Linked DNA regions of Schizosaccharomyces pombe. The protein of the gene in region 1 interacts with the protein of each later gene in a biochemical or structural test. Each region holds a gene or a part of one and is shown on either strand. Other genes may lie near its edges.

Region 1 (3,113 bases):
GTCGCACCTACCATTCAGCATATGTGGGATCAAGAAAAGTACCATCTCGCAACATTTGATAATTATGTCTTAAAGAATAGAGTCCGTCCTACCTTTTTACGTCCTTTCTGGGACATCGCTGGATTTGCGTTGGGAGCAGGAACTGCTTTGCTTGGAACCAAAGCAGCTATGGCTTGTACAGAGGCAGTAGAAACGGTAATTGGCGGACACTATAACGACCAACTACGTGAAACGGCTCATTTGGAAAATAAAGCTCCAGAATTTAAAGAGATTCGTAGCCATTTGGCAGAGTTTCGAGATGACGAGCTAGAGCATTTGAACACTGCAGTCGAAGGTTGGAACGCAAAGGAAGCTCCAGCTCATGCATTGCTTACCAATGCCATTCAAATGGGTTGCAAAGCGGCTATCTGGATGTGTAAACGATTTTAAATACTTCAAGTTTTCCTGCCTCAAACTCAACTTGCTAGTCCTTTATGAAGCAAAGAACGCCCATTTGATTCAAAATGTTTAGTTTTTCTTGCTTCACAATAGTATGATCCTTGTTAAAACTTACTTAATCTAATTAATACATTTTATCTAAATTCCTTTTCGCGTGTATTCAGTGTTTGTATTATATTTTTTTAATAGACTAATTAAGAAGTGTATGGTGCATAAAAAAACATAGATTTTGTTAAAAAAAGTTTTATGACCCCTCATAAATTATGGAATAATAATGACAAAAACGTCGTATTATAAATCCTGATATAGCTAATAGTTTATAAGACCGGAAACCTTTTAAGTTTTCATAATTGACAATAAACAGACTTGCCTGAGATCTATTTATTGCATTAATCTTGAAATTTACGCAAAGTGGAAAGCTCATCCAAGATGCCTTGAAGATTTTGGTCATCAATTTTATTCGCGAGACTAGGAATCAAGGTCCTAGCCTCTTCAGCGTCTTCGCAGCAGAGTGTTCCCAATTGTGCACGTTCAAATTTATGGAATCGATTACCAAGAATTCTATGAGGTTAGTCAAATATTTGCATACGGCTATTTTCCTCTAAAATTCTATTCAATTCTTTGAAATTATGTACCTTTCACATGCATAAGTGGCTTCAGCCGTTTTAAACCGAGCAAAAACATTGAAGTAAGCTACTGTTTTTTTCATCACACTATCCTAGTTAATTAAAAAAGAATATGCATACAATAAGACATACTCAGTCATTGGAATCTCACCATTAGTTTCGCGTGCTCGTTGTGCCAGAACTGTTTCAATAAGGATTTTGGCCTCTGAAACCGTCAACATATCCTCATTCTCAAACTCTTTTTATATTAGCAACAGAATAAAATTCAAATCCAACCTGGACCAAGTTTTAATTGTGCAGCATCTTCCTCAAAAATAGCCCTCGGCATTATGAATAGATGCTCGCAAACACTCTCTTCAGAATGTTGTTTTTTCTTTTTATCTAATTAAATCAATAACTATTATACAAATGTATTCCCAAAAATAATGTCAGAATGCTCTTTATGCACAACAACCAGCTTTCTTGCTGTTGCTTCGTGTCTAAAAATCGCGTCCTTGATTGCAGCATTTCTATAGCCGCTGCTAATAATAACGATATTTTATATTTATCTTAAAACTAAATAACGATTGTTCTTAATAACATTATGAATTTACCGAGATGTACGGAGATGTCTAAGAAAAATTTATTTTATTGATATTTCTTAATCATTTGTCTAGCTTAACGACGCCAGGGTTTTGGAGTATTTTCTCGTTAAAACCAAAGAGCTTTCTATTAAAATTATTCTCAAGTCTTTGCTTTAGAGACTTCGTATAGCTAAACGTTAATGCGCCTTAAAAACCTCAGATATGAGGATTCTTCTACTAATTTCGTTATATTCATTTGAAAATACGTTACATTCTTTTAAAGGGGTTATTTCTATTTTTACTGTGCTTAATTCTGAGATGAACCATTCGTTCTTGATTTATATGTTTGTTTTTTATAAATTTGTAAATTTATTTTTATTTTAATTTTAATTCTCACAATTTGACTTTGAATTTGATTTTTAATATGTAGGTTAAGGAAAACAGACTTCGTAACTTTACGATGTAATCGACTGAAGTGCATGTCGTTGTACCACTAATCAACTTAAACTTTTCTGTCTGCGGGATATTATAGAATCTTTTCGCATTCCTTTACCTACATTTCTCCCTTTCTTATTTTTTTACTTTTTCTTTGCTTGTGATTTTAAAAAAGAACGCATAAAAACACGAATTCACTCACAATTGCAGTGACAGCTGTTTTGTAGAATTTTATAAACTAATTGCTTTACCCTTAATCTCAAGATAGTTCTGTTATTCTAGAAAAAATGAGAAAAAAAGTCCTGTTAATGGGCCGCAGTGGCAGCGGCAAAAGTTCAATGAGAAGCATAGTTTTTAGCAATTATGTTGCCAAGGACACGAGAAGGCTAGGTGCTACAATTGATATTGAACATTCGCATGTAAGGTTCTTGGGAAATTTAGTTTTGAACCTATGGGATTGCGGTGGACAGGAGGCGTTCATGGAAAACTATTTATCTGCCCAGCGTGATCACATATTCAGAAACGTTCAAGTACTTATCTATGTTTTCGATGTTGAGTCAAGAGAATTTGAAAGAGATTTAGTAACTTTTCGTAATTGTCTAGAAGCAACAGTGGCCAATAGTCCCCAAGCTCGTGTATTTTGTTTAATACACAAGATGGATTTAGTTCAGGAAGATCTACGTGATTTAGTTTTTGAGGAACGTAAGGCAATTTTGTTAGAAACAAGTAAGGATCTTGAAACCACTTGTTTAGCTACTTCTATTTGGGATGAAACATTATTCAAAGCATGGTCTGCTATTGTCTATACTTTGATTCCTAATACGCCTACTTTGGAATCGCATCTCCGGGAATTTGCCAAAGCTGCTGAGGCTGCTGAGGTAATATTATTTGAAAGAACAACATTTTTGGTTATTTCTTCTTATTCTTCTGAGTCCAATCCTGCCACTGATGCTCACAGGTTCGAAAAAATTAGCAATATTGTTAAGCAATTTAAACTCAGTTGTAGCAAAATGCAAGCTCAATTTACTACTTTTGAGCTTCGTGGTGGTAA
Region 2 (4,481 bases), on another chromosome or scaffold:
CTCCAATTCTAGCCTTCAACTGGGATTCGTCCACAGCATTGGTTTTAAGACTCCCGAACATGGATGCAGAAGACATTTTTTTAAAGTTTTTAATCGACTAGAAACGAATAAAAAAACAAAGAAAGTTTGAAAGAACTAAGAAAAACAAACGAAAGATATCCTGAAACCTATTGAACAAGTAGATGCTGATGAAGATTGATACACCCCTTACTAATCAGCAATGAATCACTCAAACCGTTGAAGATGGGTATTAAAGGATTGTGTTGTCTATGTTTATACCTTAAAAAAATTAAATCAAACGTAACTAAGAGATCCACTTTAAGTAGTATACAATGTGTCTCAGTTCATTAAGGCGGTGGTGGCTATAGGATAATAACCCAATCAGACATACCGGGGGTCATTATATAAGTCTGGCAATGTGGAAGCGAAAAATTATCGCCAGAATCAAAGATGGCAATAAAGATAGAATTGGTGGAGCAACCTTGAATCATATCGCAAATGATTACGCTCCTTAATAAGCAATATCATTTGGTACACCCATCTTCATAAGCATAACAAAGGAGACCTTGCACATTGCTAGACTCAGTTTACAAAATCAAATGCGATACAGTATATCACATGCTTTGACTTCAGTCATTTCACTAAAAATTGACTATCTAGACTACCATAAAACAGTCAAATGCTTTCTATATTATCCACAAATTAGGATATCATCAAGCATTAATGAAAAAAAATGCTAATGTCAACACAACTCTACAGTTCACAATTGCTTACAGCATTAACTACTTACCTCACTTTTATTCTCAAAACCCCCAACCACTAATAACTACTTACTGAATTTTAAAGATAAAATTATTTAATTACCTTTCCCACTGTGTTAAAAGTTCAATACGCATAGCATCAGCAAGTCTTCAACCTCTCTTTCAGTGGGTTTAGCAACTGAAAAAATTTAAATAAACTGCTTACTTTCAACGATAACAATATTATCTTCACCACACACTATCAATGTACGAAGTTAAATATTTTCAAACCTCACATCCTAAACCATCCAATGTTGTCAAATTCATGCGTCACAAATCTGTCAACAGAAGAAGATTCGGCGTCGCTTGCCAGTAGTGCAATAGCAAGAACACCAGTGTCGGAAAGCATAGCAAGCCAGAGGCTTTCCAACTCAAACCAAAAACAAGATTAATCGGAAACACCTCAGTGAGGTGATTTCAGCGATTAAACTGAAAAGAACAGATACTACACTTGATCTAAGCCAAAAGGCAAAGAGAGAATACCGAACCAAATGCACGAGTACCTGTATATATAGTAAATCTCATAAATAAACCCGAACCCTGAGATTACTTCGCAGTCCCAATTTTGTGGTCGAGGCTGACAAACTTGTTACCAGAAGGATCATGGGCATGAAATTAACAAAAACGCTACTCATTATTATTATTTTTTTTTACACTAAAAATTTTCATACATTTTTTAAAACAATATGATATATATTTTTTTTTACAAAGTGTGAAACTTTGGAAATTTTTAGCATCTCTTTAAGCACTTTCCTTACCCTTCCGTAATACCAGCTTTATAACCAGCATCACCTACTTCACCACTTAACCGTAACCATAACACAAAAAGTATTTAAGAACAGGGTGACTTCCTTTTTTAACGTCTTTCAAGCACGTGTAAAAAACTAATATAAGAAAAAAAGTAGTAAAATTCTTATAAAGGAAACAGGGTAGTTTTCTAGTTTTGAAAAGTTTTTTTTTTTTTTCATTGTCGTTTTTCTTGTGATATGTCGGGAATCGCTGAATTCGATGGTATTTTAGATTCCCTTGAACATTCCAAGACAGGAATCTCGGGATCAAAAATTTTGAAATTGACTAACTTGTCGATGGAAAATGTTTCAGAGAATGCGCAATTTGTTGCTAGTGTGTATAAGTATGCGAAGCGTGCTCCCGTCACCCATAAATTAGGAGCTTTGTATATTCTAGACTCAATCGTTCGTAGCTTTCAGGACGGTGCTAAAAAGAATAATGAATCTTTTGAAAATCCCGTTGATGCGTCTTTTAGTGGCGGCTGGTGCAAAGCTGCTGAAATAACTGATAGTTTGGTCGCAGATGCTATACAGCATGCGCCATCTGCTCATTTGGTATGTGTAGCTGAAGTTTTTCAAGGTTGACTACGGATAAGATCCCGTATGGATAATCGTATGCTCTCTCTGCTTCTGTATCAGCGAGACACTGTATGAGAGAGGTATTTTTTCCTTGTAATACAGTATCATTCTCTTTGAGAAGTCTTTTAACATTATTGGACTAATTTGTAACTAACTAAGCATGTAGCCTAAAATATTAAAGCTTTGTGATATTTGGGAGAAGGCTTCAACATTTCCTCCCGAGAAGCTAGAATCGCTTCGTTCAAAGCTGAAAGATGCAATGGCAAGTACGGAACCGGTTAGTGTAGATTCTGCTGCTGCTCCATCACAGTCTACTAATCCCGAGGGGAATGGTGGTTCTGTTGGTAGTCAAGCAGCCGCCCCCACTTCTCGTCCTGTCGAAAACGATGCTGCTTCTATTCTAGAGGCATTGGCTGCTTTCGCTCAAAAGGCGCCCGTCCCTAGTGCTGCCGAAGAATCAGTTAGCACTCCACCGCAGCCTGCCGTCGCACCATCCGTTTCTGCTGTCGTCCCTAACCTACCTGTTCATCCAGCTACCGCCATTAATGCACAGTCTCAGTCAGGCAATCCATTATCAAACCCTCTATTCCAACCTTCAAATGTACCACAGTCTATTCCCTCTGGTCCCATGGGGATGAAGACAGGATCGGTCAATGATACCCAGAGTCAACAGATCACTCTCATGAATGTATTGGCTTCTCAGAATGTACCACCTGCACAAATCGATAGCATCATGAAAGCTGCTTTTCCCAACTATAACGCTCCATTCCAGCCGGCTGGTGTCGGCAGTGTTCCTTTGCCAGCTCCTACCTCTTCCCAATCCTTAAGACTCGGCTCCTTACATCGTTCTCGTAGCCCTAGTCCTCGTAGTGGTCGCCCTCGTCGTAGCCCTAGTCCTTCTCATTTATCCATTCCTTCTACTTTGCCTCCTGCAGATGGTGTGCCAAAACCTACCCCTGATGGATTTCCTCGCCGATTTGAGCGTGACCCAACCATTCCACCTGATTCTATTAAGGTATACAGCCGTACTCTTTTCCTTGGTGGTATTACTCGTTCTGTGCGAGAACCTGTTCTTCGATCTATGTTTGAACGATTTGGGTCTGTACAAAGTTTAATTTTAAATCATAATTACAGACACGGGTTCTTGAAAATGTTTCGTCGTGATGCTGCAGAGAAAGCTCAAGTAGCGATGGAAAATGTCCCTTTTGCTGATACTACTATTCGTACTAAATGGGGTGTAGGATTTGGACCTCGAGAGTGCTCTGACTTTTCCACAGGAATCAGCGTTATCCCAATCCGTTTGTTGACGGATGCCGATCGTACCTGGCTTGTAACTGCAGAATATGGCGGCACGGGTGGCCTTCCGATTACTCCTGGTATCGCTTTGGATGAACCTGATATTGAAATTGGATTAGGAATAAGTTCTAAGGCAATTAGTAAAAGAGGAAAAGATTTTGCTATGCGTCGTGATGAGCGATTCCGGGGTCGTAAACCATATAGGGGAGGTCCACCCATTCACCATGGTGAAAGGCATTTTGATTCAGGAAATGACTGGCATGGTAATCCTAGTACCGTTCCTCCCCCTACCAACCCATATAATCCCGGCTATCCATATATGGATCCTAATTACTCTTCTGGGTATGTCTCACAACCTCCTTGGCAACCCCAATAATGTGTTAAAAGACGCTTACAAGTATTATAATGATGGCAAAAATGGTTTCTATATTACAGACGGTATTTAAGGGTATAATGTATTCGGTCCAAATTTAATTGATTATTTTCTTTGTATTGTCTTGTTCAAACAATCTAGTTTGTCTGGGTGTCACATTAGTATTACATTTGTATCATTGTTGTACATCTTATACATCTATTTGCAAACAAAATGAAAAATCTTCGAAGTGTATTAAGCTATGTACAAAAAGATCAAATCTGCGATAAACAAAAGCATTCGTATAATTATATATAAACATTCGCAAGGTAAAGACAAAACCTTGTTTATTGTTCGGCATTAAGTATATTATAAAGCTCCCATAGTCGTGACCTGTCATCGTTTTTAAATGAAAAAAACCAGCCATCAATTCTCTTTCGCCATTGAATATCTTCGCTAAATTGCTTTTTTTCAAACTCTGGGCCGACATCGTATATTTCACTCATATCTGGAAAATTGATTATTGAGTTTATGCTACCATTAAAGCTACCTGAATTTTCGTTCAAGTACTGCGAGGTGGAGTCTGTATCCTCAAGATCATCAAACCCGCTAAAGGGATCTTCCGCTTCTTGACCAGAAATCGAATTATCAATCCATCGTAACCTT

The links. The genes of interacting proteins can lie anywhere in the genome.
Region 2: the proteins of rpb4 (region 1) and seb1 form a complex in vitro, tested with the Schizosaccharomyces pombe proteins (one study listed by BioGRID).

Annotation. Positions count from the first base shown.
Region 1 is NC_003423.3:1,053,941-1,057,053, reverse strand, and holds rpb4 (DNA-directed RNA polymerase II complex subunit Rpb4), read right to left. Parts: upstream 1,546-3,113; 5' UTR 1,393-1,545; coding exon 1,341-1,392; intron 1,303-1,340; coding exon 1,197-1,302; intron 1,152-1,196; coding exon 1,074-1,151; intron 1,000-1,073; coding exon 828-999; 3' UTR 552-827; downstream 1-551. Other genes in the region: ubiquinone biosynthesis protein Coq7, read left to right, coding at 1-429; Gtr1/RagA G protein Gtr1, read left to right, coding at 2,350-3,113. UniProt on the Schizosaccharomyces pombe protein: DNA-dependent RNA polymerase catalyzes the transcription of DNA into RNA using the four ribonucleoside triphosphates as substrates. Component of RNA polymerase II which synthesizes mRNA precursors and many functional non-coding RNAs.
Region 2 is NC_003424.3:958,275-962,755, forward strand, and holds seb1 (poly(A)site selection protein Seb1), read left to right. Parts: upstream 1-1,610; 5' UTR 1,611-1,786; coding exon 1,787-2,143; intron 2,144-2,333; coding exon 2,334-3,839; 3' UTR 3,840-3,953; downstream 3,954-4,481. Other genes in the region: sno1 (glutamine aminotransferase subunit), read right to left, coding at 1-76; two-component GAP Byr4, read right to left, coding at 4,163-4,481. UniProt on the Schizosaccharomyces pombe protein: Involved in the processing of pol II transcripts.